Linked DNA regions of Astyanax mexicanus. The protein of the gene in region 3 binds, or shares a complex with, the protein of the main gene of each other region. Links are inferred from orthologs where the notes say so. Each region holds a gene or a part of one and is shown on either strand. Other genes may lie near its edges. The genes, in order: cyfip2, wasf2 and nckap1.

The links.
Region 1: nckap1 (region 3) and cyfip2 share a complex: the UniProt entries of both Homo sapiens proteins name them as parts of the WAVE1 complex. The link is inferred for Astyanax mexicanus from reciprocal best matches to the Homo sapiens genes NCKAP1 and CYFIP2.
Region 2: nckap1 (region 3) and wasf2 share a complex: the UniProt entries of both Homo sapiens proteins name them as parts of the WAVE2 complex. The link is inferred for Astyanax mexicanus from reciprocal best matches to the Homo sapiens genes NCKAP1 and WASF2.

The regions. Positions count from the first base shown.
Region 1 is NC_064417.1:49,387,402-49,398,037, forward strand, and holds the start of cyfip2 (cytoplasmic FMR1-interacting protein 2), read right to left. Parts: upstream 4,607-10,636; 5' UTR 4,450-4,606; intron 1-4,449. Other genes in the region: itk (tyrosine-protein kinase ITK/TSK), read right to left, coding at 7,793-7,858, 9,015-9,172, 10,230-10,348, 10,451-10,515. UniProt on the Homo sapiens protein: Involved in T-cell adhesion and p53/TP53-dependent induction of apoptosis. Does not bind RNA. As component of the WAVE1 complex, required for BDNF-NTRK2 endocytic trafficking and signaling from early endosomes.
Region 2 is NC_064410.1:50,554,747-50,565,677, forward strand, and holds the start of wasf2 (wiskott-Aldrich syndrome protein family member 2), read left to right. Parts: upstream 1-6,769; 5' UTR 6,770-6,915; intron 6,916-9,713; 5' UTR 9,714-9,738; coding exon 9,739-9,871; intron 9,872-9,974; coding exon 9,975-10,109; intron 10,110-10,931. UniProt on the Homo sapiens protein: Downstream effector molecule involved in the transmission of signals from tyrosine kinase receptors and small GTPases to the actin cytoskeleton. Promotes formation of actin filaments. Part of the WAVE complex that regulates lamellipodia formation.
Region 3 is NC_064418.1:49,916,084-49,926,766, forward strand, and holds the start of nckap1 (nck-associated protein 1), read right to left. Parts: upstream 5,220-10,683; 5' UTR 5,000-5,219; coding exon 4,892-4,999; intron 1-4,891. Other genes in the region: dusp19a (dual specificity protein phosphatase 19a), read left to right, coding at 6,956-7,178, 8,406-8,452, 8,553-8,705. UniProt on the Homo sapiens protein: Part of the WAVE complex that regulates lamellipodia formation. The WAVE complex regulates actin filament reorganization via its interaction with the Arp2/3 complex. Actin remodeling activity is regulated by RAC1.

The DNA.
Region 1 (10,636 bases), on a different chromosome or scaffold from region 3:
GGAATCTGGCACACTGCTGATGCATGTTGTGTGTATGTCAAAATATTGTTATGAACATTGTGCATCATAAAAATGTCCTTTAATGTTGTAATACACATTTTTTACAATTTCACCCAGCTCTCTCAGTTTGTGATTACATACACCACAGGTGGTGGCTTATATATTTTTCATATTTCAGATTCAGAATTATATCACATTGAATAAATCCGAAAAGAACCAAATCATTGAACTCAGGTGTTGCTGAATCAATTGTGTCGACAGGTGTATAATAATAAAAGCAGCAGCTAGTCATGCTGGGACTGCTTCTACAAACATTAGTGAAATAATGTGTGGCACTCAGGAGCTCAGTGAACTCCAGCACTGTGGTACAGTGATAGGATGCAGCACCTGTGCAACAAGTCCAGTCGTGAAATTTCACAACTCACTACTAAATATTCCACAGCCAACTGTCAGTGATATTATAACACAGTAGAAGAGACTGTGTCAGTGTAAAATAACAGAGCGGGGTCAGCGGATGCTGAGGAGCATAATTCACAGAGTTCACCAACTTTCTGCAGAGTCACTACACCAATCACTACACACCTCCAAACTTCATGTAGCTTCAGAGTTTATCACTACACACCTCCAAACTTCATGTAGCTTCAGAGTTCATCACTACACACCTCCAAACTTCATGTAGCTTCAGAGTTCATCACTTCACACCTCCAAACTTCATGTAGCTTCAGAGTTCATCACTACACACCTCCAAACTTCATGTAGCTTCAGAGTTCATCACTACACACCTCCAAACTTCATGTAGCTTCAGAGTTCATCACTACACACCTCCAAACTTCATGTAGCTTCAGAGTTCATCATTACACACCTCCAAACTTCATGTAGCTTCAGAGTTCATCATTACACACCTCCAAACTTCATGTAGCTTCAGAGTTCATCACTACACACCTCCAAACTTCATGTAGCTTCAGAGTTCATCACTTCACACCTCCAAACTTCATGTAGCTTCAGAGTTCATCACTACACACCTCCAAACTTCATGTAGCTTCAGAGTTCATCACTACACACCTCCAAACTTCATGTAGCTTCAGAGTTCATCACTTCACACCTCCAAACTTCATGTAGCTTCAGAGTTCATCACTTCACACCTCCAAACTTCATGTAGCTTCAGAGTTCATCACTACACACCTCCAAACTTCATGTAGCTTCAGATTAGTTCATCACTACACACCTCCAAACTTAATGTAGCTTCAGAGTTCATCACTACACACCTCCAAACTTCATGTAGCTTTAGATTAGATGAACAACAGCAGAGTGTATAGAGACTCATGAAATGGAGAGTCGTCATGGCCAAGCAGCTCTATGCAAATCCTCACTAGTAATGCCCCAACACCAGGAGGGTGAAGACTAGCACACGCCTTCTCCGTCACATGTGAAGTCAGCCACCGCCTCTTTTTGAACTGCTGCTGATGCAGCATTACTAAGTAGCATCACAGTGCGCTCGAGGGTAAGAGCAGCAACTGGGTTCTGATACATCAGCTCACAGACGCCTTGTGCTGATCCACATCACCCACCCAGAGAGAGCAAGACGAATTGTGCTCTCTCTGAGCTCTGGCAGCCTATGGCAAGATGCATGAACAGGTTTCACGCCTCAATCTGCCGATTGTTTGTATGAATTTGTAACACACTACAGGTCCATCAGTCAGATCACTCTATTATAAAGACAAAGTGTATTAATACTGGACACAATGCCGTACGCTGTTCCTTCAAGAATGATAGCAGAGTGGAGAATGCTGTTCAACTTAGCATCGGCCTCAGCACCGGACTGGATTACATCATAGATTTATGATGGATTTCCTTCAGGCTATGAAATTACACTGAGGCTCTGAACAGGCCGGCTACAGTGAGTGATGTACTGACTGATGACTAACAAGCAGTGTATTCATACTCTGTGCTAAGGGCACCGTCTGACAGCCGATGACCAGCTGATAACCTGTTGAAATATCATTTGTTTCTCATCGTCTCTGTAATGGAGGCTTATAGGTTGAACACACTGGTGAAAAATGAGGGATATTATGCTTATTTGGTCTCAAAAGAGCATGTCTCAGGTTAGCACAGTTCATAACAGCACTTTGGACCAGCAGTGTGCCATATAGTATTATACATAATAATATTGCTAACCTTTTTAATATCGTGAATGATATTACAACCTAAAATATGGTGCCATATCACCCAGCCCTAATTATCACATTAGGGTACTACTTTTTGCAGTTTTTAGCAAAAGAAAAATTCACACTGTTCTCATTTCCCATTATATATCTACTACAAACAGATTATATCTGCCCAGTATCATTTATTTTACTTTAATCTTGGATATATTGAGATATTTGGAGTGCATTATTATTAGTATCATGACATTCTGGATTATTGACTTCTGTTACAAATCTGATAAAGTTCTTGTATTTTTTAATATATCCGTTAGGGGTGTGCTATATGTATGCAATAGTAAAATTGTATTTTCATTTTGTTGCAGTAGTGTGTTATTTAATTTTTCTTTTAATTTAGTGTTTTGTCTTATTGGCAAAAGTATCGTTATTGTAAAAATACCATGAAATATTGTGCTATTGTTTTAGGGCAGATAAACCTTTCACACAACTAAATAGATCAATATTTCCTGTTTCCCTTCTGCCACCCTATTATCACATTACCTGATAAAATTAATTAGTTCTCAGTCAGCATGAAGTCGCAAATCACAGCAAAGAATATGGTCACTTTTTTATGGTTTACAACACTGTGGCCAGAAATTCAATCTTATTAAATATAACTAAATATCCAACGAAAGGTAGCACACACTGATGACAAGTAAGGAAGGGGTATTTTTTGTGTAATATACTAAGAAATGTTAGTTAGACATTACCTAATTTTTAGTGTGCCCCAGCTGTTCAGTTTAGGTATCGGTCATTTTTACTATTAAAATATGGGGTAAACAAAGTGAGTGCAAATGTGTAGCTTGTGTAGGTTTGTGCCATATCTCATTGTAAAAAACATTATCGCAAAAAACTCTTGACATGATAAAAAAAAAACTCAAGAAAGCAGTAGTTAGCATTATTTTTGTTTCTATTTTTCATTTTGTTACACCATTATTATATAGTGCAAATTCAGGGTCTTGGCAAGTTACTGTTTAGGAAATATACAAACAAAACATCACTTTCTCTAAATATAGCACAAAGTCCAAAAATTCGTTTTGTATTGACTGTTTTGTATTTATTTTGATAAGTTTTTTATTATTATTATTATTATTATTATTATTATTATTATTATTATTATTATTATTATTAACCATTATTATTTTATACAAATTCAGGGTCTTGGTAAGTTGCTGTTTACAAAACAGACAGGCATTTATAACGTTAGATTTTTATTTAAGTTTCAACTGAATGTATGATTTTATGTTATATTTATTATTAGAATTAACTCAAAATATCGCTTTCTTTTAATATAACACATTTTTTTCCAGGAAGTCCAAGATTTCTGCAATTTGTGTGCACTAAATATGCTGAACTTGGTAGATTTCTGTTGTTACATTACATTATTTTTGTTATATTTCTTTATTTTGTTACACCATTATTATTTAATACAAATTCGAAAGTGAAATTTATGAAACACGTATATTTATGCCAAATTGTATTTTCATATGTAATATTAGAATTATTTAAAACAACACTTTTTTATTATAACCCATTTTTCCAGAAGAAGTGCAGAAATTTGCTGTTTAAATAGGTTAACGTTATAAAAACACAGTAACAGCTAGTTACGTTAGCTAGTTAGCTTAGCGTTAGATTAGCTAGCAACAGCAGTAACCAGCTAACCTAGCAACCATATTACAGCCCACACTGAGAAGAGCCACCTTAATATAACCCATATATCTAACAAAACACACGCGTTAAAGCTATTTCTTATTATTATACAGCAAATAAATACAAATCTGCATCTAAAACAGGCGGAATCAGTGAGAAAACCCAGATATTTATCAGTATTTCTTCGTATGGAGGCTCTGACGACAGTCCTCCCCTCACCCCACCCATAACGGGGAAGGATGCTTCTTTCAGTGAGGCAGCGGAGCAGCAGCACCACCGCTGATACTACCGCCGCTATCACCGCTTCTACTGAATGAACGGATGCCTGGTTCACACAAGCGCCTCTATATTATACTTATTATAAAACCACAAACCCGAGAAACGCGCTAAACAAGCAGAAACACCAGCAAACAGCAGGACTAGACGGGTCTCAGTGATAAAAAATGACGGCGCATCGCGAACTACAGCAGCAGCAGCAGCAGGTCCCCTCCTCCTCCTCCCTCCCGCCGAGCCTCCATCATCCCGCTATCTATCTAACCTCCTCCTCATCACCAGACCCAGCGCTTTAAACACACACACAGCCCAGCTCACAGCCTACCCGCAAATCTCATGTCCGCCCGAAACCGAACGGACCGGCCAAAGCGCAACTCGGCTCTCACACAAGCCGGGGGAGGGTGCCTCTCTCCTGGATCTCCACCGACTGATGCTCCGGCTTCAGCCCCGTCCGCTAATCCACCCACCCCGCACACAAAGAGCAGAAAATGGCTGCAAGTGCTTTTCTTAAAGTGACAGAGGCCCATTTATCTAACATGAACTATGCTAAGCTAATCTATGCTAAGCTAACGCTAGCTTAGCTGGGTACCACTTTAAAAAGCTCTTTTATAAAGGGTTTATAAATACTTATAAAGCAGTTTATTAATGGATATTAAGTAATAAATGTCTGTTAAAAACTTTATTCATTTAACTTTAATAACATATTAAATGACTAACGTTTTTCTGTATTATTCAATTACACATGTTAAGTTATAGTCACTGTTGTTCCTTCTATTTAGGTGTTGTAAGTTACGCTTAAAAAACGCCTTTATAAACTATTTATAAAACCTTAATAAAGGAGTCTAATTTTAAAGTGGTATCCTTAGCTGCCTCTCTGTGAGTGAGTTATCATTAGCCAAACAAACAAATTATAAATACTGGTGTTTATTACTGGTGTTTTTTTTTTTTTTTTCAATTGCTAAAACATAATTTTGTAAACTAGTCGGCTGGTTTTATTAAATACTAAATACAATTCACAAAACCACCCAACACCCAAACTACCTCAAACCCTCATAAATCATGAAATCTAAAATATTTAACACTTCTACTCAGTGATTAAACTCCTGCATCCAGAATGCAATGGATGCAAGAAAGTTTTTTTAGGCTTTCTTGGTCACATGACATTGTGTTCAGTAGCTCCTCCATTTCCACTCGCTGTAGTATTTTTACATGGATCTCCGGATGTGCTTCCGGATGGGACTAAAATTACTGGAAGAGAATGGAGTTCAGCAAACAGTAGGTAATTCAGTACATAACAGTAGGTAATTCAGCCTGTAATTTTCTCAGACGACGTCTGAGAAAAACACATACATGGTCGTTCCGGACGGGAATAAAATCACAGAGGAGCCCCACCATGACTCCCTGAGAAACAAATCCCGTCCGGACAAGGCATAGAGGTGGGCGATATGGCCCTAAAATAAGATCAGAATATTTCATGGTATTCTTGTGATAACGATACTCGATATGACAAAACGCTAAATAAAAAAAAAATCAACAATACACTACTGCAAAAATTTTAATTAAAATGTATTATTGCATATGATATTAAATGGGCATAGCATGGCAAGTGGGAATAAAATAATAATAATCCTTTTCTGGATGAATTTGTTGAAGCAAATAAACAGTCAAATATGCAGAAGTGTGTCTCTATAGAGAATATTCTTTTTATTATATAGAGAAAAAACATAGAGAAAAATAAATAATCATATTATTTGACCAGAAGTGACTGACTTTCCACTGTAATGGTTAATATAGCATAATATAGTGTGTATTATACAAAACTCACTTTTTGCGTCAGGAATCATATGCTTCTATGTACCGATTGGATGTTTCCCTAGCTTCTTATTGTGACATCACAATAAGAAAACCTGCAGAGAACCACCCTGGCACCATTCCTGAGAACCTCTGACAGTACACAGCAGGATTAGGCAGCAGACTTTGTCTGAGTGAGGGCTCTGTACCCACTGCCTGCACAAGCTATGTAAGATATAAACACTCAGTGTATGTTTTGTATAGACCATATACCTATTCTAACCTGTGTAAAAAGAGGTCCCCTTTAAGCTATTGTAGATCACATCATTCTCCTATTAAAAGTCATTTGCTTTGGTGTCATTTTGTTCCAGTGAGTGGTGAAAGGTTTAGATAATAACTGATAGGGAAATTGAAAAAATGAAGTAGCTGTCTGCTTGAATATTTCATGCTAGTTCATTAGCCTACAACAGAGCGGATAACCCCACTGGAAACACATTCAATAAAATATGAGGTGAGCCGACCATGTGCTCTGGGCTGTTTGATACATAGTGAGGCCTGGCAGCCTGTGTGTGTGTGTGTGTGTGTGTGTAACCCTTGTGTGGTTTCCACAGTAACCAAAGGAGGCATGTGTGTGAGGGTGAGTGGGTGTGTGTATCACCATGGGCTTCTATAGTAAGTCCATTCGTCTGGTCATCCTGTTCTTTTTAAAGCGTGTGTGTTTGTTTGTGTGTGTGTGTGTGTGTGTGTGTGTATGTGTGTGTGTGGTCACAGATTAAAACATGGTATATTTGTCTGATTAGGGTTTTTTTGCTTTTATTAAAAATAAAACATGGTATTAAAATGACTTATGATACATAATATTTGAACCAACAGTAAAAAATATAATACAGTAAATGAAGTAAATAATACAGTAATGAATAGTTTTGAGGCTGAAGCTCTATCTAGTTTATTAAATAGCTTGTGTTCGCCCTCTAGAGCAGAAGAGCAGAAGTGTTTTAATGCAGCTACACTACAAGAGTTTATACAGCAAATAGGTTTAGCTTACAAACACACCATTGATATACGTTCTAACTCAGTATTCTAGTGCATCTAATGTCATCTGCTGGTGTTGATCCACTGTGTTTTTATTATCAAGTCTAAAGTCAGTGCAGTTTAGTTTTCACACAAAATCTTACAGCGCTTCATGCTGAACCTCTGCTACTGACAACTTTTATTGAGATGTGGATTTCATTTTCCAGCAGGATTTGGTACACTGCCCACACTGCCAAAAGTACCAAATGGTCTAATATAATATTCTAATTTTCTGAGACACTGATTTTTGGGTTTTATTGTCTGTAATCCATTATCAATAGTAATAGGAGAAATAATCACTCTGTGTTGTATCTATAAAATACAATATTTAAGTTTCACATTTTGAACTAAATTACTGAAATAAAGTAATTTTCAAGGATAGTATACATTTTTTTTAGATGCACTAGTATACCAATAAAAATTACAATTGAACTAGTAATTAGCATTTTTAACTAGTAAATGTTGTGACTGCAGACATCTCCTCTGTAATTTTGACTTAGACAAACTCAGATCAGTTTTAGATCAATTAATATTATTATTAATAGTTAAAAAAAATTATATTATATTATTACAGTGTACATTATACAAGTTAGGACTTTATCACTGGTGTAATTTTAGGCAAAAATGGCTTACCATATATTTATCTACTAAGGCACCAAAGGCTGATCCATTAGATCAAGGTTGCTCAGAAATATAAAAAATGTAGAAATAAATAGAATTTACAAATAAATAAACTGCTATAAACTGTACAATATATCTATATTCAGGTTTCTGATTTGTGTATGAAATTTAACACAATCCATGGCTCAGAAGTCAGCAAGAGAGGCCAGCTGATGGAGGAGCAGAGCGAAGGACGGCCGGTCTTCAGGTTTCTATTAGAAATAAAATAGAATTAAATGAAGACATGCCGTTATAATAATACAGTTAATACAGTAGATTAAACAAGACAAATGCCTCACAAATCTGCCAAACTCATGCTTCTACTGTGATGCTGATGGCCTTTTCTGCTCTCAAGCAATGGAAGCATTCAGTCACTTTGGGCTCCTCAGGCACTAGGTACACTTTTAACACTTTCAGACCCTCCATCCACTATTAAGGACATTGTGTTGTTAATATTTGTTTTTTAAGTTTATAATAACATATCAGAATAGACCAATTAAAAACTTTTCCAGCCAATAAAACAGCCCCACCCACCTCACTGGAAAACAGCTGTAGTAGGGCACGGCAGCACTTGAGCCAAAAATGAAAAATTAAGGGTTCATTTGTATTAAATTAAAGTAAGATCAATATCAACAAGTAACAATGTTAAAAAAAATATTACCATGCCTTGGAAATAATTTAGGTCTAGGCATTCTATGCCCGAAAAACGTAAGTTTCACGTAAAAATGGTGCCATGCATACAAGGGCATTCAGTGGGTAAAGATGCATGCCTTCCGTGCCTACAAGCTCATTCAGTGGAGGATGTAAAATCGTGCACAGTGCAAAACATATATGCCTTGAATGCCGAAAAGCACAATCGCTGTGTAAAAGGCATGCCTTGTATAAAATCAGGTGCCATGCATAAAAGCCCATGTCCTGCTTAAAAACGTGCAGCATGTGTGAAAGCACATGGCTCACATAATATCTTGCGGCATACATAAAAGTGTATACCCTTCATGGTGAAAAAGCAGGATTTGTGCGTAAAAGCCCATGCCTTGCGTAAAAACGTTCATCGTGCATTAAAGAGCATGTCATTCCTAAAAGGCGTGCGTAAAAGCGCATGCCTCACATAAAATTGTACGCCATGCATAAAAGTGCATGCCTCATGTAAAATTGTGCATAAAAGGCCATGAGTAAAAACACGCGTAAAAGTGCAAGTCATGTGTAAAAGCCCATGCCCTGATTAGAAACGCACACCGGGCATAAAAGCCCATGCCTCACGTAAAATTGTACGCCATACATAAAAGCCCAAAAATGTGTGCTGTGCATGCCAGAATTTAAATCTACTGTAAAAACCCTTAGTGATGCCACTGAAAAATCCTCACTCACCTCTTTCCAGCACCACTGCATCAGCTGGTAAACGGTTTCTGGGCAGAGGCGGGGCTGCAGTAACCTCTGTCCGGCGTTCAGGGACTCGATCACCTCCGCGTTGGAGCGATACTCGTAGGGCAGCCGCCCCTCGCTGTAGATCTCCCACATCAGCACACCTGAGATTACCAAGACCAGTTAAATCAATAGGAGCTCATACTTCAGGAGGAGGACATACTATACTGAATATCATTTATCATCAAAGTTGTAATGTTTAATATACAGTTCAGATATATTTACTGCATTAGTAATATTTAGTATGTAATAAAAATACACAGAGCTTAAGGAGGTGAAGGAATAGTTAAGGCAATATTGATTTATCACTTACCTCAGATTCAGTCTTAAAAAATTAAGTACATAAGAATAACACTAATATTCTAAAAAAGTAAATGGTAAAAATAAAAACAAAAGTTGAATTAGGAAAAAAATAAAAATAAAAGGATTAACTGTTGGCAGGTCAGTGTATATGCAAACAGAAATACAGCTCTGGAAAAAAAATAAGAGACTTAAAAATGATGAGTTTCTTTGATTTTACCAAATTGAAAACCTCTGCAATATAATCAAGAAGAAGATGGACGATCACAAACCATCAAACCAAACTAAACTGCTTTAATTTTTGCACCAGGAGTAAAGGCATAAAGTTATCCAAAAGCAGTGTGTAAGACTGGTGGAGGAGAACATGATGCCAAGATGCATGAAAACTGTGATTAAAAACCAGGGTTATTCCACCAAATATTGATTTCTGAACTCTTAAAACTTTATGAATATGAATTTGTTTTCTTTGCATTATTTATGGTCTGAAAGCTCTGCATCTTTTTTTTGTTATTTCAGCCATTTCTTGTTTTCTGCAAATTAATGGTCTAAATAACAATATTTTTATTTGGAATTTGGGACACAGAAATGTTGTCTGTAGTTTATAGAATAAAACAACAATGTTCATTTTACTCAAACATAAACCTATAAATAGCAAAATCAGAGAAACTGATTCAGAAAATGAAGAGATCTCTTAATTTTTTCCAGAGCTGTAAATGGTGGAAAAACCTACTGTTTTTCATTTAAAAAATCACAATCAGTTTATAATATTGTATTATGTAGAGGTTAGAGATTTAGATCTGCATAACTTCTACTTAAATCTAAATACAGCAGGTTTAAATTAAGAAATTACGTCGTACTGACCGAATGACCACACGTCTGACTTGCTGCTAAACTTGGTGTGGTTGATCACCTCTGGTGACGACCACTTCATGGCGAATTTGGAGCCGGTTGAGCAGACGTACAGATCATCCAGCACAGGCCTGCAGGGTCCAGCAGAAAATGATGAGAGGTGATCATGTAGAGAGCATGCCCTCAGCAGACAGGAAAGGTTTACTGTACCTGATAACAGCTTGTTTTCTTACCTGGTCATTCCAAAATCAGACACCTTCACCTCAAGCTTTTCTGAGACCAGGCAGTTTCTCGCCGCCTGCAAACAGGAAAGATTCATTACTTTCATTACTAAAGACTCAGCAAGTGACTTAAGTTATATAATTGCATTATTATGCTATTATACACAATCGGCTCTATCATACACACTGCGCAAAGTG
Region 2 (10,931 bases), on a different chromosome or scaffold from region 3:
AGATCGGAACTGGCTTTTCTGGCCCAGAACCTGTGATTTTGCGGTGAAAACGCAAAGAACCGTTCGGGAACCTGGCACCAGCACCGGCACCATGCCGGTAGAAAGAGGACCATAGAGGACCAAAATTACACTGATGTGCCAATTAGTTATGTATCCCATGACTTTTGCCACATGCAGTTGAAGCTAAAGGATGCTGCACTGACCTGCAATGAGTGTTGGCCTCCTGCATTTGAATGAATAATTGAAATAATTACTACTACTGCACTTCAGTCTTCAGTGCATGGTAATGCCTTCTATGATGTATTCCTGGTACACAAATGACACTCTTAATTGAGAAATGTTAAATATCTGCACTATTTCACAAATTAAATACTCCATTCATCATTCATCCTCTATGACGTTGCACAAACTCCAATAATCCACATGGCCTTGCTATGAGCACATTGGCAGTTCACAAGATAACATATCACAACTGATACAGGTGTGGATGTTTTCTATGAGTTCACAACTTATAACCAATTTACGTACTGCTGTCCTATGACTTCCGGCATGACATTAATTAACAAGTGTCCATATTCCATTCTTGAAGTGAAGGACAGTGGCGGGAGCATCTACATGTCTTGTTTTCAGCAGCAGGGGCTGAGAGGTGTGAGAACTGAAGGAAAGATGAACAGATCAAATTACAGAGAAATCCTGAAGACAGCTTTATGGTGAGAGTTAAGAGTTTAGGAGCTCAGATTGGGGTGAAAGTTCATCTTCTCACACAACCTGAAACTCACAGCCCAGACAATACAGGAGGGGTTCAGAACAGGTCTGTGGACATCTGTAGCTCAGACTTTAGTAAGGTTTGAAATTTGAACTTTAAAAATGGAGCCCTGAAGGTAGTGGTATATCAACACTCCCCATAAACTGGACAAAGCTTTAGAGAGTCTGCAGAGTAAATGGATACATACAAACAGAATAAAGTATATATTTAAGGTCTGATTTATACGTGCATCCTCTTCTGTGCTGTTACTGAAGACTATTATTTGTGGAAGAAGTCATATCCTATATTTTTCTTCCAATTGATTTTTTTCTATTCTGACATTTGTGTGTTTTTATGTACCAAATGCCTATGTTTATACCTTTAGAATTAACCAGGCTTTTTAACATGCCTTTACGAATAATGTGCAGTGTTATGCAATTGTTTGGAAATCTTTGGAAATCAAATAATGATGTTTTTTATTAAGAAGTATTAAACACAGCCTCTGTAGCTAATCATTTAATAGCAAAATCATTAAATACAGTGCAAAGCAACTCTGCCTTTTCTAACATTTCTAACATAAAAAATCATGTTAATGTTCAGACACCTTAAAATTTTCTAAAGCTCAGGTTTTTTTTTGACAAGGTCTCAGATCTTGATTAGCGATTTAGGCCTGAGTCATGTCACTACTTGTAATTAGAAACTGTCAGCTGAATCAAATTAAAGCTTACTCTCAATTTGAAGGTTTGAAAGTATGCGGCAAGTTATGGATGATGACTAATGAAATCTAAACAAAGCAGAAATGAGAAAAGAAAAAAAACACATTTAATGAAAAGAATGTCATGCCAACTGTAAAGCATGGGGGTGGTTGCATTGTATCATAAACTGAAGTTGTATTGCTGCAAGTGTCAAAATTGCGTGATTAAAAAAAAGAATGAATTACACAAAATACCAGCGAATCCTAAATACAAACGTAGTGAAGCTAAGAAAAAAATATGTATTTTACAATACCTCAAATCTCACTGCAAGTTGTCCAGCCACCATTATTTATAAAAAATGCTACAGTTAAAATAATTCCACAGTTAATTCCAACCCTGCAATGTGATTGGTTGAGAGGCATTCTATGAGTGCCAATAACAGCAGGTAATGCACTGTAAACGAAGCTCTCAATGTATTACTCTGCCACATACAGGTAACCCAGCAACGATGCAGCGCTTACAAGCCAAACAGCTCAGCTACAAACAGAGCAGCAATGGAACTATTTTAACTCACAAAGTGTTTATAACCAAACAGATCATATTTTCTTGTCCTCTTTACCTCAAATCTTTGAATAAACAGCAATAATGGAACTGTGGTATAATCACTATAATACACTTGAGGTGCGTGCTATAACGTGTAATATTGTGCCAATATTATGAAATGCTTTGATTTAATTATATAGTAAAAACATTGTGGACAGACAGATCTACAGGTCTTCTGCAAAAGAGAGTGTAACATTTTCTACAACAAGAACAGAACAGCCTTTAACTGTTATAAATAATTGTTTAAAGGTGTTTTTCAAGGTGATGTCCAAAAAACAATATTAATAAATATTGTGTTTTATGTTTTATTATTTTTGAAGCTGTGCTTCTTTTTGCTCTTTTGTTAAATTAGAGACAAAAAATGTGTCACTTGGCCTGTAAGTGCTGTAAGTAAATTGTCTCTGTTGTGATTGGCTGCTCTGTACTAACCTCATTCAGAAAGCTATTCAGGCTGAACCACTCCTGATTGTAACATGTATTATGAATGGGTGCAGCTAACAGTAAACTGAACAGGCAGATACTGTGTGTGTTAGGGCTTAAGGAACAATAAATTCAAGTTCTTTTATTTTAACTGTGTAAAATATGTTTTTCTCTGTTAGAAAAGGACCGAGTTTGTTATTATGATTTGTCATTATTAGGTATTATTAATACAGTGACACTTTCTTTTGTTTGTCTTCTGAGTGTGGTGTTCGCTGCCATCTAGTGGCTAAGTTTGAAGCTGCAGCTGTTTTGTTTATGAACTCCAAAGGCCTTGCTTTCTCTCAGTGCTTTCTGAGTTAGCAGCCCACATTTCTGTAGATATAATGTTGCTGTAGCTGTTTTGCTGTGTACCACGTGCCATCAGATTTACATTGGGTTCTTCACATACTTATTGTGGATGAATGGCACTGGACAGGCTTATGGCAGATAAAAATATCAGAAAAAGAAAAAAAAACACACATACCTTATCAGTGTTATTGTTACAGAGTTACCCCCCACCCCTAGCCCTCTTCATAGATAACTGGAAGTAATAGTTCTTTCTATAAACAAGCTGCAGGATATGCAGTAGTTATGCTAAATCTGATAACCACTTCAAACATTTCACATACTTTACATTCTTCACTGGATCACTTACAGCCAGATACAAAGCTGTATTTCTATGTGTGATTACTGGTGTGCTACATTTACCGAGGATCACTAGAGAAGTAACATGTCTGAATCCATCTGGTACATACTATCTGCCAGCTTCCGTCAGCTTCTCCTCAATTAAGCTTGATGGAAAAAGCCAAGCATAGCCAATCAGCAACTGTGTGATTTCAACATTTTTTGTCAGGCACTTACCTGCTCAATTAGTAAGCAATAATAAATTGTTAGCAATTTAAAAAGCAATAGATTGTTTGCTCAGTTAAACTGAAGCCTCTCCATGTGAACTTGTTTTATAATATGATTTATTAAATTAAGAGAATGGGTTGAAGAATTGAGGAAACGCTTCATTAAACTCATAGAGCTGATTGTTTCACTGCAAAAAAAATGAATCTTAGCAAGTGAAAATATCTAATTTCAAGGCAATAAATCTTATTTTTTTTGTTTTATTAAGCATTGTAAGTGTAAGATAATTTTGCTTATTTCAGTAATAAAGATCTTAATACGTTTTACTTATGATTTTGTAACTTATAAAATAAAACTCATAATATAAAACTCAACATGAGCACAAAAAGTGACCAGGCAAGTTATGCTGGTTATTGTGTCCAAATTTAGGTCGCAAAATAAGCGATTTTTGATTGATTTAAGTCCTAATTAACCCGTTTTGAGATTATGCAATTGCTTATTTTAAGAAATGTAATAAGAATATATATCTCAATTCACATATATCTTATCTATTTTTTCCAATATAATTTTTGCTGAGTTCATTAAGAAAAATATTTATTAAATAGTGTTAAATTTATGTACTGGTTTATGTCTCTGACTATTATTCTGTTCTACATTGGTACTCTTTATATATGTTATATATGGAGGTCAGGGTAGGACTGGGAGTTTAATCAAATTCAGTTGATTCATCAAATGTTAATGCCATTTTCAAAATGTACATCTTTACACATAGAAGGTACCAGAGGGAAACTCAGTAGATAGACAAGTTGCTTCTGCCAAGAGTAAAAAAATACTTAATACATAAATAATAACACCTTCTGATCAGTCTTCTGAACTAGTCCATGATTTATGTATCTGTTCTATAGGAGTGATGTTGCACATACTCTTGGTTGTTTGATATGTTCTCACTGTGGCATTACAGTTTTTCTCAATTGGTTTGGCTCATTTCTTGAAACTGAGATGACATTCCTATAACTATAAGGTAAATTGGCCAAACAGACTTACAGTTCTTCACAACACTTCAGATAACCAGCAAAATGTCATATGTCTCCCAAAATGTTCGTTCTTGCTTCAAAATGAAGTCTTTCTCCCATGTAAATAGTCAGTACCATAAAAATGGCATAGATCCTTCTCAATTGCTTTGGCACATTTTCATTCATTTCGTCCTCCTGTCAAAATAAACTGTACGGTAAAGCACAACTACATGGATCCTCATCACATGCCCATATCACTCCAAAAACAGTTTACCCACGTGTCAAAACTAATTTCCTTTCTCACACAAATCATCAGTGCCCCCAAAATGCATTGTCCCTTTGGCATTGTGTAAGTACTGCAAGTCAAAATGCTTAGCTGTTTTGTCTTTACAGCAGAGGTTTAGCTAAAGGAATACAATTTTCACACCACACACACTGCACTCAATCTGCTGAGGAAAGTGTAACTATTTTTATTTACAAGTACATCTTTACACATTACTGTAGGTAGAAAAAAAATACAAAGGAAAATGTATCAAATATACTATGTATACAAAATACAAAAACCTGAAAAAAACAAAACAAAACACAGTATGTAAAAGAAAACAGTCAAGCATCACAAATGCACTACAGTAACATTCTGACTATTCTGTGTCACTCCCCTCTCTCTCCTGGTCACCCTCCTCATCTTCCTGGCCATCCATCCGCTGCAGTCTGTTTGGCCATAAATTTTCATTAACATCGCATTTGATGTGTTCTTTAGCAATGCACTGTGGGAAGAAGCGTGGTAAATGCCTGAGCCATCCTCTACACTAGAGGTCTCTAATAGGCGGCCCGCTGTCCGGGTCCGGACCCAGACGTTATTCAATGCGGACCCAAACCGATACACTACACAGAAATATCTTTATTCTGAGAGTGGTGGAACTTTTTTTGTCTTTGCTCTGCGGCGCAGTAAACTCACAGACCACTCGTTTGGTGTAAAATCACCAAATGCTCTCTCTCCTCTGCCAATCAGATCTGTGTAGACTGCTGCCCTGGCCAGTGAATTGGGACGCGGCCGGGAAAAACTTCTATATAAAGAGATCAGGAGCCGGAGAACTGGCTGAAAAACGAGAACGGACGGAAACTAAAGACACGCTGAGTGCGACAAAGAGACAGGAATGTACACACAATTATACAGGATATAGTTAAAAATGGCCCGGACCTTGCACTGACGAAATTTTCTCCAGCATTCAAAATCATAGACAACCTGTCAGGTAACAAACTGATGGATTGGTCACCTGTAATGTGGGACACTCATCAAAACCTGCTTTCACCTGTTACCTAATCACCTGATTATCATGAATTTATGAAATGTTCCAAAATATGTGTTCTGTATTGAATTACAATTTCTTAACTCATTTTGAGAATTGAGCAGACTATTCTGCAGATGATGACTTATACGATGAAATTGTGCTGACATGTTTTGGAGAGAACAACCATAACACTGAGAACCAACCAATTGGGATAGACCAACAAGATGCATTCTTTTGGAAAATGTGCTAAATGTAGGATGATTGTGTTAAGTGTAGGCTACTTGTACATAACCATTTGCAAAGATGTACTAAGTGCTTGAGACATGTACAAAGCATTTGAAATGTGATGAAAGCAATGAGAAATGCCATTCTGTTGTGAGGAACCGCAAGTTAGTTTGGGGATTTGTCCATATTATTTTGTAAATGTCATCTCAGTTTCAATAAATGAGCCAAACCAATGGAGAAAAACTGTAAGAGGGGGTGAATTGGAGTGGGAGGAATTGTCCAAAATACTGAGTATTTTTCCCAGCATCCTCCTCTCTGAAACCTTTAAGAGAGTCCAGCTCCACACCCAGTGCAGAGCCTGCTTTTCACCACAGAGTGATAAAACATCTTCAGCATTTTTTACACATATACAGTATTCAATAACTTGCGCATCACTTTAAATAATGATGTCTGTTTACAAATTTAACATGCTAAATTTGTTATGTAAGAATTAAAAATCTTAATAGCAATGGAAAATCAATCATATATATAATTAAAGAATATCGAGATTATTTTTATTTTTTACAGTATCGCCCAGCCCTACAACAGGGTGCTGTCCTGTTTCTCGTGCCTACACCTTTAAGCAGAGATTTGTGGAGCTTAAAGCGAGCATCTCTCCATATTTCGGATGTGTTGGAGCAGGCCCGCGGGTCAGGAATGCCCAGGCCGCGCTACTCCGCCGGGAACAGATGTTTTCAGCCCAAACGGGTGGAGCGCTGCTCTGCTCACAGCCACGACCACAGCCACACCCCTTCTGTACAAGACTGACAGCTGAATCAACCAATTGCGTGTGAGGAGCTACTTAAGCCGTCCAATGAAAAGTTAGTAAATCCGAGCCTCTGAAGTCAGCGCCCGATTGCTCTGGTGACGGCAGATGCGGACATTTTTCTCGGTTAGAGAGAGTTGAGCTGCGAGTTTCAGTAATGTTGAGGTAGTTAGCGAATTAAAGTGGTTGTTCGACTTCAGCAGAGAGGAGCTGTATCTTTCACCCTCGGGTAAGAGAGTTCAGGAAGTATTTTCAGGGTTTAATTCAGAAAAATAGCGAGTTTATGCTGTATTTTGGGCTGTTTAGGCGGCTAAGCTAACCTAGCTAACCAAAGATCTGGCTAGCTGCTAACTGCTTACTTCCTGCTGTGGAGCTCAGGGTGGGCCGCCCTGGGAGTTTTGCTCTCAGAAAGTTGAGAAGTTTGCCCTGTCTAATAGTTTGACGTCTAATATTTTACAGAATGCTTTAAAGTGCTTAAAACAGACCTTTATCTCTTTATTATCTGTCTAAACTCTTTCAAAACGAGTCTGATTTCGCTGAAGACTTGACTGTAAGTTACCTCCATACTGTGGCTAAGTTTTCTGGTTTATTATTAGCGTTAGCCATTATTTAATCCTTTCGATACGTTTTTGATACTGTACGTCTGTAGTCAACTAGTGAGTTAGGTAACTACATTTAGCGTTGTTTTATATCTGACTTCTGCTGTCACTTAATAAATGAAACTTCTGTTGGACGTTTAGTTAACGTTACCTTCATCTAGCTTGCTAGTACTTCCAGTTAGCTGTAAGCTAGTTCCAGGTCTTCTAAAGTCTGCTGTAAATATGCAGTAAATCTCAGTATGGATTAGCTACCTAGGTTAACTAGCCACTAGCTACTGTAATGCCTAGGCCTGCTATTTGGGTTGTTTGTAGCTACCTCCCTAAAGATTTGATCGTTTGTTTTATTAGTTTTTTTTAATTACATCTGGGTGTGTGTTCGTGTAGAGTTCTGTAAACTTCCTCTAAAAGAGGAAGGTCAGAGGACTTGATGGCATGCAGCTGTGTCTATGTTCCTCTGATAGTTACCCATATCAGCTGACAGTTATGGTGCTTAAATGTTATATTTAATAAAATAAAAAGTGTATTTTATGAAAGATGAAAAATATGTGAATGGCACTAGTCACTAACGTAAAACCTCAAACTTTTAAGATGTTTTGACATTTTGATTACAGCTGCAACTAATGATTATTTTGTTAGTCGACTAATCTGATGATTGTTTTTTGGATCAGTCAACATTTATTTCAGTCGTGACTTCCATTGCTTTAAAATGAAAAACATCTAAACGTAGGGTTTATATGCCTTTTAAATTACCAGAAGAGGTTTAAATGTGGACTATTATTTAGTGAGTAAATGTGCTATCTGTTGTGTTGGGGATCATTTACAGCATAGACATTCTGGTTTAAAATGCACATTACCATAATTTTACTCACTTTTCCTTTACCTATTGCACAACATTGGTCTGCACATACACATCTGTATTGCTGCACTTCATGCTTTACACCCAACAGTACCATTTTTTTCTTTTAACAGTATATATTAGACTACACATTAAAACTAAAAAAACATCATATTTCTGTATGTATCTATATGATAACAAGACAATATAAGATAACCATATTTACCATACTTGTGCTTGAGGCACAGATGGAATGTGGCCTTTACCTTAATACCATTAGTGTAGTGAACACGCCTATACACACCTGTGAGCAAGCTCACAACATATTTTGTAATCTCTCTTAGCTGGTCCTTTATTTTTTTTTAAATATGATTATCAGAGTTACTGATTACTATTAGTTGTACCATGAAAGACTAATTTAATTTGGCTTGATTTGAGCACCAGCACAATGGGCAATAGCTTTAGCTTGAATTGTTTTTTTGTTTGTTTGTTTTTTTCACAACACAGTGGAATTTAGTCACCACCTGATTTTGCAACATTTGGGGATTAAAGCATTGTGTGTTTGTTTAGAGTTGGGTCTAAACTGTACAGGAAAACATGTGCTTGTGAAAAGGTACTAATCAAGTGCCACTGTCTGAAAATATGCTGTTACATTTATAGATATATTTATCAGTCATATCACACTTTTTTATGTTAATTATACTACTTTAAAGGCTTGTTTCTATTTTTTTCTAGTATTCTATTCATAGTTTTATTACATTTTAGTGTTAAATAATGCTGTCCTGACAAGAGAGTCTCCCTGACCTTCCTTCTTTATGTGCTTGTATGTATGTCCAACAATGAGACAGTGTACAGAGTAACCCTAAACATTTCTATTTACCATAGTATTTCTAGTATATATAGTATATCTGAATCTGGACCGTGTTGAGTATGTCTGAACACTAATGAACTGTCAGCAGGATTTTTCAGTAGGTGCAGTGTCAGTTGGAGTTTAAAAACATAATGCTTTTATCCTTTCTATGCAGATTAGAAATTTATATATTCATATATATTATAATATATATATATTCAATATGAATGAATGTCATAGTTAAATGACAGTGGCAAGAAAATACATTAAATTATTTCTTTAAATATTCATTCTGGATGTGTTGCTGTTCTGTTAATCATCGGTAGAAAAGGTAAACTTTCTACAATACATAGGGAAATTTATTGCTTTTTATAGCTTACATAAACCCAGAAGGAAATGCCTTTTTACACTGATAGAGTGTGAATGCAATTACAATAAGAGATGTATCTATTTGTGGGCCTAGACTAACAACAACATGAAACGGACAGGCAATTCTAGACTGTTTAGTTGTTTAAATAAAAAATAGAACCTAAAAAGGAAGGCATGTAGCAGTTTTGGTTCTGCTTTAAGCTCCAGCAGTTTTGGCTATGTGTTTCCTCTTGCATTGGGAAAAGGTGCATGTGGATGTGTGCATGGAAAAACAAGCGAGCATGAGGACCATGAAGCATGCATCCATAAAGAATTACCAGAAATGAGGGTGTGAAGCCTGTGGTCTGTCTGATTTACTCTCTTCTGTTCTCCAGGGAGGAGAGAGACTAAATTGTCATCATGCCTTTGGTGATGCGGAACATCGAGCCACGGCACCTGTGCCGCCAGACTCTGCCCGCCGCTGTGAAAAGTGAGCTGGAGTGTGTAACCAACTTCACACTTGCCAACATCATCCGGCAACTTGGCTCCCTAAGTGAGTGGCTCCCCCTGCAACTCCTGTTCGAATTTCAGATTGACTGTTTGTGGCTGACTCTGCATATCTTAATGTATCTGTGTTGTTGTGTGTTCTATCCAAGGCAAATTTGCAGAGGATGTGTTTGGCGAGTTGTTTGTCCAGGCCAGCTTGTTTGCAGAAAGAGTGAACACGCTTGGCGAGCGGGTGGACAAACTGCAGGTCAAAGTCACACAGCTAGACCCTAAAGAGGAAGAAGGTAAAAACAACACAAGGAGATCACATTTAAAGATTGAGACTGACTGGTTAAACAAATAGAATCAGGTCTGCATCTACTCTGCTTGATCTGAATTAAATCAAACTATTCCCAGGCCTGTGTGGTTTAGATTGATGAGCTATGTACTAGAATTATTCTGTAAATATTATATATGATATATAACTTAAATGGACATAAGCATTGGGACATACCTTCTGGTCAATGAGTTCAGTCAGGTGTTTTATTAATGCAGTCTGCCTTTTCAAACAATAGTAAAAAGAAAGGTTTTAAAGAGCCTACTAAATTCCATTGTGGAACCAGCTAGTGACATTTTATTTCCTCTTAGATACTGCACCGTCAGCTGTGAGTGGAATTACTGAAAAGTCTAAGCATTTAGGAACAAAATGGAAGATCAGTTAAAAAGCAGTCGTGTGTAGCATAGTGTATATAAGTGAGCAGTGCTCTGCTGACTTAACAACTGCATAATTCCAAACCTGTTTTTACAACTGGAAAAGGGGAACCATCTTAACCAGAACTTTCTGTGTTACATGATGGGTGGTATTCAATAAACATCCTAGTTCAATAAGAGTATAAACAATAACAAAACCAGCTTCTATGTCTGTTAGGAACAGTCTGAATGTTTTAAAAGCTCAGATATCTGTTGCGATTCACACAGCAAGGACGAATAACACTTTAAGTTCTTTTTATATATGTTGACTTTGTTTCTGTGTAAAATAAACCTGTTTGAGAAGCAATTTGATACTTGGATACTTTATATTCAGCGGGATATCTGGGTAATTATAGGTTACATCAAATACATGAATC
Region 3 (10,683 bases):
AATTGGGATGAATACAACTACATATTTTAATACAAGACAAGACAAGACAACCCAACCATAATCACATACTGGACACAACAGATGGAAGGTTGCCATTATAGTGGTACCCGGGAAGCAGTGAGGGTTAAGAGTCCTGCTTTAGGCCCAAAAAACAGCAGCTTTCTGAACCCGGGTATCGAACCCACAACCGTGCGATTATTAGCCTGGAGCTCTAACCACTAAACCACCACTGCCCCATTTGAAAATGAAAGGGTGAAGGAGAACGAGTGAGCATGTGTGAGTGTGTGTGAGAGAATGAGAGAGAGAGAGAGAGAGAGAGAGGATAAATGAGGATAATTGGAAAGAAGTGTGTGAGAGTGAGACAGATAGAGACAGAATGGATGAAGCCCCTGCCCCACATCCCTCTGGCTTTTATACAGAGATCTGGACCGACTCCCGCTCAGCTCCAACAGAGCCAAGCCTGTCAGAGCGGCCTAAGAACCCTAACACACACACACACACACACACACACACACACTATTCTCACAGTAATGTACTTAAAGCTGAGCTCTTCAGCACTGGTGTGAAGATCGTTTTAGAGCCGAGATAAAGAACTAATTCTCAACTGCACTGAGATTCCCCCTCAGAACATTCTGTAGTAACGGGTAAAACATCACCACTGCCGAGTACGGGTAGAAACGGGTACGATCAGGGAGGATATGGAGGAGTATGGGGTAGGCATGGGTGAGAACAGAGTGGGCACAAGTGGGTAGGGATGACTAGGCAAAAGTATGGATGGGTAGGGATAGAGTAGGCATGGGAAGATTATTAGTAAGAATGGATGAATACGTGTTGGGAAGGGGTGAGTATATAGACAAGCATGGACGTGTGGGCAAAGGGTGGGTATGGATGAGTATGCAGGGCATGGATGAGTATGGAGTTAGAAGGGATGAGTATGAGGTGGGCAGGGAAGAGTATGGATTAGTACGGGTTGGGAAGGCATGAGTATGGGGTTGGAAGTGATGAGTACGGATGAGTATGCAGACCATGGATGAGTGGAGTGAGCTGGGATGAGTACGGAGTGAGATGGGATGATTATGAATTAGTACAGGCTGAGAAGGATTGAGTATGGATTAGTATGGGATGGGAAGGGATGAGTATGGATTAGTTTTGGATGGGCACAGATGAGTATAGAGGAGTATGGGCTGGGAAGGAATGAGTATGGATTAGTACAGGCTCGGTAGGGATGAGTATGGATTAGTGTAGGCTAAGAAGGGATGAGAATGGGCTGGGAAGGAATGCGTATGAATTAGGACGGTGCTAGGAAGGTATGAGTATAGAGGAGTATGGTCTGGGAAGGGATAAGTATGGATTAGTACAGGCTGGGAAGGGATGATTATGGATGAGTTCGGGCTGAGAAGGGATGAGTAAAGATATGTGTGGGCTGAGTATAGATGAGTATGGGCTGAGAAGGGATGAGTATGGGCTGGGAAGTGATGAATATGGATTAGTACAGGCTGGGAAGGGATGAGTATATAGGAGTATGGGGTGGGAAGATGAGTATAGGGCTGTATGGAGTATGGAGGGATTAGTATTTTAATAATTTAACTTGATCAATCAAATTTAATCTGACAATATAGATCCAAATATTTGTAGAAAAGTACTGCCAATACAATATGGCCCTCTGGAGAAGATAAACATAACCATCACTAATGCTCCCTCACGGAATACAATCAAATCCTCACAGCCGTGTGGTGTACAAATGTACACCTAAATGTAGAAGGTTTGTGCTTAAGTGCTTAAGCCTAAGTCAGCAGTCATATTTAGAAGCTCATACTTTCTGCTGACTTGCCACAGGCAGTAAGTACAGATCCCTTCCTCAGACGAAGTCTGCTGGTTAATCCTGATGTGTACTGTCTGAGGTTCTCAACCAGCAGACCAGAATATCACAAAACTCTTCCAGATGACTGGGATGTTTTTTTTTATTTCTGATTTTTTAAAACTACTTTAAAGTTGCACACATTGCTAAAACAGATATGCAAATGCACACACACAGCTTGTCCAGTCCTTGTAGAGACTATTATATTGTACTGCCAAAAGAATAAGACTCTGTAAAGAAGATAACCATGAATCTACTGCTACCATGCAAAATATCCTGATAAGATAAACACAACAGGCAATACTGAAGCTATTAAAACTTATTGAGGTTTACATGTTGTACAATTAGCCAGTAACATAAGTATTAATACAGGCCTACTAATCATTATAATACTGGAGAACACTAAACTCACATTTCTTCATGTTATACTCAAAATCCTTACATATTCACATACTGCATTATTACATCAGACATTAAACTGTACACATCTCACCTCTACTACAATATTTCTTACATTTTTTTTTGTTTTATAGTCAGACAGTCATCAAAGTATCTGACTACTAGTTGGATTACTGTGAATTACTGTATTAATTTGACAAATAAACTCCGATATGATGCTATAATACAGTTTTCTCAGTATACTGGAGATAATATATACACTGACAACATTTGTGCCTTATTGACGCAGCATTTTCCGACCATATATCATCAGTAACTCAATCAAATACTGAAAAACACACCTTATAGCATCACAATGTCCAACCTGACCGTATGTACTTCATTCATACTTCAGAATCAGAACTAAATTACAGCAGCTTACAATAATCTTAGTTCTCAGACGACAAAGATGGACGAAACTGAGAGAGGCATATACTGAATAATTATACAACATTCATTAAATGCAATAATTGCAACTCATTATGATTGGTGTCCACTAGCTACCGTTCATACCACACACTTAAAAACAACAAAAACTCTATAATCATTTCAGATTACTATAAAATGACAAACCCCCACAAAAATCAATCATGGCATGGGTAATAGTAGGTATGAGTGATTAGGGGTACAGTTGGGTTAGCATCAAGAAATAGGGGTGGGCATGGAGAGGGTATGTGTAATTGGGGAGTGTATGAATGATTTAGGTGACTAGTAGTGGGAAAGGTATAAGTAAACACAAGGGAGCAGGGATGAGTAAGAGTATAGTAAGTTTAATAATGTGTTTAATATTGTGCAGCCCTAGTATGATGAGTGGGTGTGGATTAACAGACATGGTGGGAAGGTGTAGTAAATATATATATATAAGGTATACATGCTTAGGGGTACCGTTGAGTTGGTATGGAGGAAATGGTGTGTGCTTGGGGAAGGTATTACTGATTAGAGGATGATATGGATAATTGCAGTAATTAGTAGAAGGGTTTTGTATGAATGGACACAGAGGAGTAGGGATGAGTATAGCGAGCGGACACAGAGGAGTAGGGATGAGTATAGCGAGCGGACACAAAGGAGTAGGGATAAATGTGTGTATAGTGAGTGGCACAGAGGAGTAAGGATGTATATGAGAGGGTGTGGAGGAGTAGGGATAAGTATGAGTTGGTGTGGAAAAGTAGTGATGAGTATGAGTAGACACAGAATAGAGGAGTATGGATGAGTGAGTAAAATGAGTGGGTGTGGAGGAGAAGGGATGAGTATGAGATTAGTGAGTGGACACAGAGGAGTAGGGATGAGTATGAGTGAATGTGGAGGTGTAGGGAGGGGTATGAGTAAAGTTAGTGCGTGTGGAGGAGCAGGGATGAGTATAGCGAGCGGACACAGAGGAGTAGGGATGAGTATAGCGAGCGGACACAGAGGAGTAGGGATGAATGTGTGTATAGTGAGTGGCACAGAGGAGTAAGGATGAGTATGAGAGGGTGTGGAGGAGTAGGGATGAGTATGAGTGGACACAGAATAGAGGAGTAGGGATGAGTGAGCATAATTAGTGGGTGTGGAGGAGTAGGGATGAGTATGATTGAATGTGGAGGAGTAGGGATGGGTATGAGTATAGTTAGTGGGTGTGGAGGAGCAGGGATGAGTATGACTGGACATAGAGGAGTAGGGATAAGTATAGTGAGTGGGTGTGGAAGGATGAGTGGACACTGGAGTATGGATGTTTGCGAGTATAGTGAGTGGACACAGAGAAGCAGGAATGAGTATGAGTGGGTGTGGAGGAGTAGGAATGAGTAGGAGTATAAAAAGTGGGTGTGGTAGACGAGTAACAACAACAAATCAACGTCTCTAGGTGTTTGATATCATTATGAAGAAAAACCACGCGGACTATCATTTAAATAAAACCACATTCCCCAATAAACGACACTAAAAGCATATTCCATTAACAATTTAAGCTTATAAACAAACAAATATAAAACATAACCCGTAAACTACACCACACGCCTTCACCAGCGGCCAGATACTAGCTAAATAGATAGCAAACCATTAAAGCGAGTGTTAGCGAAACTGACACCATTAGCGTTAGATACAAACATACATCTAAAATGAGCCATAACCTGTTTTTAGACCCACTGTCCGTTTAAAAAACGTTATTAAAATAAAGCTAAACGTAAAATAATTATGGTAAAATAAATAATAAATCACATAGCTAGCTAGCTACATAATATTGACTAGCTGACGTTAACGTTAGCTAACTAGCTTACACAACGTCAGCTAGTAACGCTATTATGATTTTCGCTAGTTTTTAAAGCAGATTTATGGACAAAAACACTACATTCAGCACGAAATTGTAACGTTAACTATAGCAATAGCTAGCTAATCATTAATTTTAGCTAGTTAGCTTAGCTAATAACAGCGCACTGAGCTCGGCCTCCCCGCAGATTCTTCGTTAGCTATGCTAAGCTATGCTAAGCTAATCGTTAGCTATCGTTCTGTTGAACGGCTGAATGGACCTGAGCGGCTCGGCTATAGCTGCGTGTATGAAGCTGTAGCCGGACCCGGGTCCGGTTTAACCGGGTTAAATCAGTGCACCGCCCCGCTGTCGCTCACCTTCTTGATGTTGTAGATGCGGGTGAGCATGCCGAGGCCCCGGTCGTTGAGGATGGTGAGTTTCTCGGCCAGCTTCTGCTGACTGGGCTGCAGTACTGCCCGCGACATGGCGCCGACACAAAGCTCCGCACCGCGCTGAATAAAGCCTCTCTCGGTCCGTCACCGCGCGCTCTGTAGTGTTAGGGAACCGGGCTTGCGGCTGGTGCTGTTGTTTAGTGTTCAGACAGGCCCATACTCCGGGGCGGACCGCTCCCTCGGCTCGGCTCGGCTCGGTTCTAGGTGTTGCCCTGCCTGTCGTCCTGTTTCCTGCAACAGCAGCGCTGCAGGGAGGAGCACGCACGAAGGCTCGCCCACGATCCGAGCCGGACTTTACCGAACGCTGCCGATTAGCCTAGCCGAGTGTTTCCGGAAATTGCCGAGCTGTATTAAAGGGCCTATATACATGTAAATGTAATATACAACCCTGGCATGGGCGGATCTATCGGGGTGGCACAGGGTGGCAGCTGCCACCCCAGATTTGAAAGAAAAGTTATTATGGCCAATTTGAAATTTACAAGAGCAGATTTCCTGCAGTAACTGCAGTAACATTAAAATTAAAGCCCAGTGCTAGTCTAGTTGTAATGCTGATTTTGAGCTTATAAAATCTTATATTTTTATAACATATATTGTTTGCTAGGTACAGAGATGTCAGTTACTTAGTAACACATATTCTAATCTGTCCATTATTCTAGTAACGAGTAATCTAAAGTGTTACTATTTCCAATCCAATAATCAGATTAAAGTTAAATATCCAAGTAACTGTGCGTTACTATTTTTTATAATTTTCCTTAATAAAAAAATATTTTAGCGTCCGGCTGGTCACATTGAAAGGATGGACGAGAAAGATGTTTACAGTCGTTGCTTTTTTGCTTAAATTTACGATGGTTGCTATCGGCTGCAACCACGCCAACATAACAACAGGCTAGCGATCTAACAACCTAACAGGCTAAAACTAGCACTCGGGCTGCACACAGACCTCTGACATATGTCCGCCCCTGAGCCCTGGAAAAAGTTTCTTTGATTTTTACCAAATTAAAAAACCTCCGGAATATAATCCAACGAAAGATGGATGATCACAAGCCATCAAACAAAGCTGAACTGCTCTAATTTTTGCACCAGGAGTAAAGCAGCATAAAGTTATCCAAAAGCAGTGTGTAAGACTGGTGGAGGAGAACATGATGCCAAGATGAATAAAAAAAAACTGTGATTAAAAACCACCAGGGTTATTCCACCAAATGTTGATTTCTGATCTCTTAAAACTTTATGAACTTGAACTTGTTTTCTTTGAATTATTTGAGGTCTGTAAGCTCTGCAACTTTTTTCAATGTTCATTTTACTCAAACGTATACCTATACTATACCTAAATCAGAAAAAACTGATTCAGAAACTGAAGTAGTCTCTTAATTCTTTTGCAGAGCTGTGTGCATATATATATATATATATATATATATATATATATGGTTCTTGCATGCATGCTTCTTTTCACTCACTGAACGCATCCTGTCCAGCAGGGGTAAAAAAAACTGCCCGCCCACACTAAAAAACTGATTGGCTGACTCACAGACTCTTTGCAGAGAACAGGTCAATTAGAAGCCTCTCTGTTTTGCATCCGATTTGATTTTTGTATTATTTGTATTTGTATTATTTTTGTAATATTTGATTGGTTACGATTAGTCACAGAATTCGGTTGTAAAAAATTATATTATAGCATAAAATCCTTATTCCATCTGTGAAACACGGTGGTGGGAGCATCATGCCTTGGCCCGTTTTGCTACATCTTGGCATGGATGACTTGCCATCGTTGATGGAAAACTGAATTCTACAGTCAGTTCTATCCTACAGGTGGCAGCACTGCTCTGAAGCGCTCAGGTGTTCATCATGCCCAGGTAAGGATGACCCTTCTCAGTTTTCAGGCTGTAAAGGAGGCCAGCAGAGCGAGGTGGAGCAGAACGAGGGACAGGCCTGCTGCGGAGACACCGGGACGTTATATTCTGCTTTACTGAGGAACATCTACACACACATGTGATGCAGTCGCTCGCCCAAGAGATCAAATCCTTCTCCAAGACCAACCTGAGGAAACAATGCACCCGGGTGACCACCCTGAGCGGCAGGAGGATTATTGAGACATGGAAGGGGTCCACGGTGCATGTGGTGGAGGACACGGTGCAGCCGGAGAGCGCCTGCGGATACGTACAGGACAACACCTGGGACCTGCAAGTGGGACTCATCAGACCCCATTTACTGCTCGGTGAGGGGGGTAAACATAGCCTATCTGACTTCAGCTGGTTTATTTATAACTGAATAAACCAGAAAAACTTAATTTACACCTGTCTTATTTAATTTATTTAGTTTAATAAGATATACAGATGATTTTGTGGGTCATGCAATAGTTACTACTACTATATTAATCTGTAATAGTCCTGTTACAATCATTAAATGTTTATTATACAATATACTGACTCATAAATTATTATATTTATGACAAACATAATAATAATATAATGATAATAAAACTGTAGCTTGTGATTATTATCTATATTCAGGCATTACATGGAGGGTCTTACACTGTGACAGATTTCAATTTATGCCACATATAATAATAAGCTAATCAATAAATAATAGTAAATAGTAAAAAGAGAAGAGACCTTGAGATTAAGAAATTCATTAAATAATGTAGATAAATAAGTAAAACAAATAATAAGAAATAGGCTGCATTACAATAGTAATAGTAGTAAAGAATAAACACACATTTTTATTGTAATTTTATGACCAATTATTTCACTTCTATAATGATATACTGAAAATATAATAGCATGATAATGCAATTATACAGCTTTTATTAAGGATATTAATAATCAGAAAAAAATATTCATAAAAAAAGTTTAAATATCTTTTTAATTTAATATGCAAGACATATAAAAGAGAGAAAAAAACTAAAAAACCAAGCTTATTCGCATTAACATGCTCTCCTCATTAAATAAATACAACGACCAAAAGGCCTCTCACTATAACTAGTTTTAATTTAATGATAAATTATTGGAATATAAGATATTACTGTCAGTTTCAGATTGTTTTGAGATACAGGTATTAAATAAATAAATAGAACTATATATAACATATAGCCAAAAACATTGAAAACTGGATATTTTACATGTCAATATAACTATCTATAATTTTCTATAGGATAATATATAATGTCCCAATTTTTTATTTAAATGAATGATTAATGAATATATATTTTGTTATATTTTGAATATTTTCTAAATATTTTAAATAAAACTAATAAAAATGTGACATACCAGCTCATTCACATTAATGTGCTCTTCTCATAATAAATAAACACAATATAAATCCAGCAATTATTGTTACAGGCCTAATTTCTACTACACAGTATATGCTACATGTATTTACTAAATTAACTATTAACTATATTAAATAATATATGTGTCCTCATGGCGTGGCGTTTAAATTGCAGGCTCACAAGATGCTGCCCACGACTTCGCCACTCTGAGAAAATACAAGGTACCATATTTACTGTGTATTTTCTCTTATTATTTAGCATTATTAAGTGTTATATTTGTATTTTTTATCTTAAAAATATATATTTTTGTGTTAATTTCAGGTCACACACATACTGAACGTAGCGTACGGTGTGGAGAACGCCTTCCCCGACCTCTTCATCTATAAAACACTCAGCATACTGGATCTGCCAGACGCTGACATCATCTCCCACCTGCAGGAGTGCACACAGTTCATAGAGCAGGCCAAGGCTGAGGTACAGGATGACCTGAAACATATATGCAGTTATACACACTCACCAATACACACCTATACACATATACACACCTATACACACATTTACACACATGCAGGGCTTGTTAGGGCAATGACTTCCAGTTTCCAGTCGTTGTTAGGCAAGGTCAAGTGATGCAAATTTTAGAGCTTTATAAATATTTACTAGTTTTTGTCTGCTTTAGAAAACTGAAAACATTTGGGTTTTTATGTTAAAATATGAATATAAGACACAACATATCAACATATCAACATTTTAGCTTTTATTTCCAGGTATTTACACCTGCATCTGATACACGGTTAAAGGTCTCAATCCATCGTTTTTTAATTAACTTTATTTATTTATTGTTTTAAAAATGTCTAGTTGTGTGTCTCTAGTATGAATGAAAGTGCTCCGGTGATCCGGTATAACACTGCTTTAGTCCTGTGGAGGAGTGGAGGTGATGTTGGCTCTTGCTCATGAATATTCATTTATGCAAACATATCGCCTCTGATTGGCTAACAGCACTGCAAAACCAGGAGGGAGCAAGCAAGATGGACAACAGTTAAAATAGAGACATTTTTATGCTAATAACAGTCTTTGTAATGTTATATGTTACTTTACAACATGTGTAATAATGCCCTGCTAAGTGCAGTTCAGCCACTGATCTAGACTTAGAGTCTCTGTAAAACACCAAATCCACTGGAGATCCTATTTAAACCTATAGTTACTTACAGACAGAGGTGGGTAGTCCAGGTCCAGAAAGTAAAAATCCACCCCGGATTGCATTTCAGAAATTCAGATCAAATGCAGGCAATTTGTCAGCTTCGACAAAATCGAGCCAAAATCAGGCTAAATTAGTCTGATCCGGGCATTAGAGAAGAAACCAACATGAAATCAGAGCCATTGGAGCACAAATATTGGTCATAGCCAGTACAACTGTTTGAAATGACCTGAAGAAGAAAGTCGTCATTGGTGTACTGAGTAACAGGTAGATGTCGAACAGGAAGATCAAGGAAAACCACAGCAGTTGATGACAGAAACATTGTGAATTATGTGAAAAGAAAGACCCTAAAACAAATGTTAGTGACATTATCAATGACCTCCAGAGTGATGTGGTATCTCAATCCACTGTTCCCAGAAAACTTGATAAACAGAAGTACCAAGGCTTCACCAGAAGATCAAAAAAACACTATTCAGCAAAATGAATGGAAAGCTGGAAATGTTCAAGACGTACATGAGCTTCTCATGATCTTAAATATACCAGCTCATCTGTGAAACACAGTGGAGGTAGTGTCATGGCTTGGGCTTGCAAAAAAGCATTAAAAGCCTTCAAAAGCATCACAAAAAAAATGTTTAGAGATGTTATCAGAAGATGTTATCTTCTGATCTGTGCATCAGATCTAGATGTAAATACCTCAAAATAAAAGCTGAAATGTTGATCTTTCGTCTTATATTTGTGTTTTAATGTCAAAATATTTTTAGTGTACAGCAGAAATAATGGGATCGGCTCACTGTTCTAATACTTCTAATACATCTAATACACCAACATATAGATTAAACTAAGTGTAACATATCAACGCTTTTCTTTAAGTACACAACAGGTTAGTTAGTTGGCTGATTTGTCATAAAGAAAAAGCTGATATTTACCGTCATAAAAAACAGCCTTTTATCTGTTTGAAAGGAGACCAAAATATGAAACATTGAAGGTTTAATTACCATTTTAGAAACATATTTTACATCGCTTTTAAAATCTGATAAAAGACTCATAAACAGTTTTCAGTATTTAACTTAATAATGCACAAAAAACGCTTAATTTTTCGACTTGTTACGGCTACTTCGCCTGCGCAGATCTCCACACTGAAGAGAGACTATTATGCTAAACCTCCAAAACTCTCGGCACAATCAGCAATCTGATTGGCTCTTTTTGTTTTGAGGCGGGACTTTATCCTTGACTAAACTTCATGAATTGCATTATAAG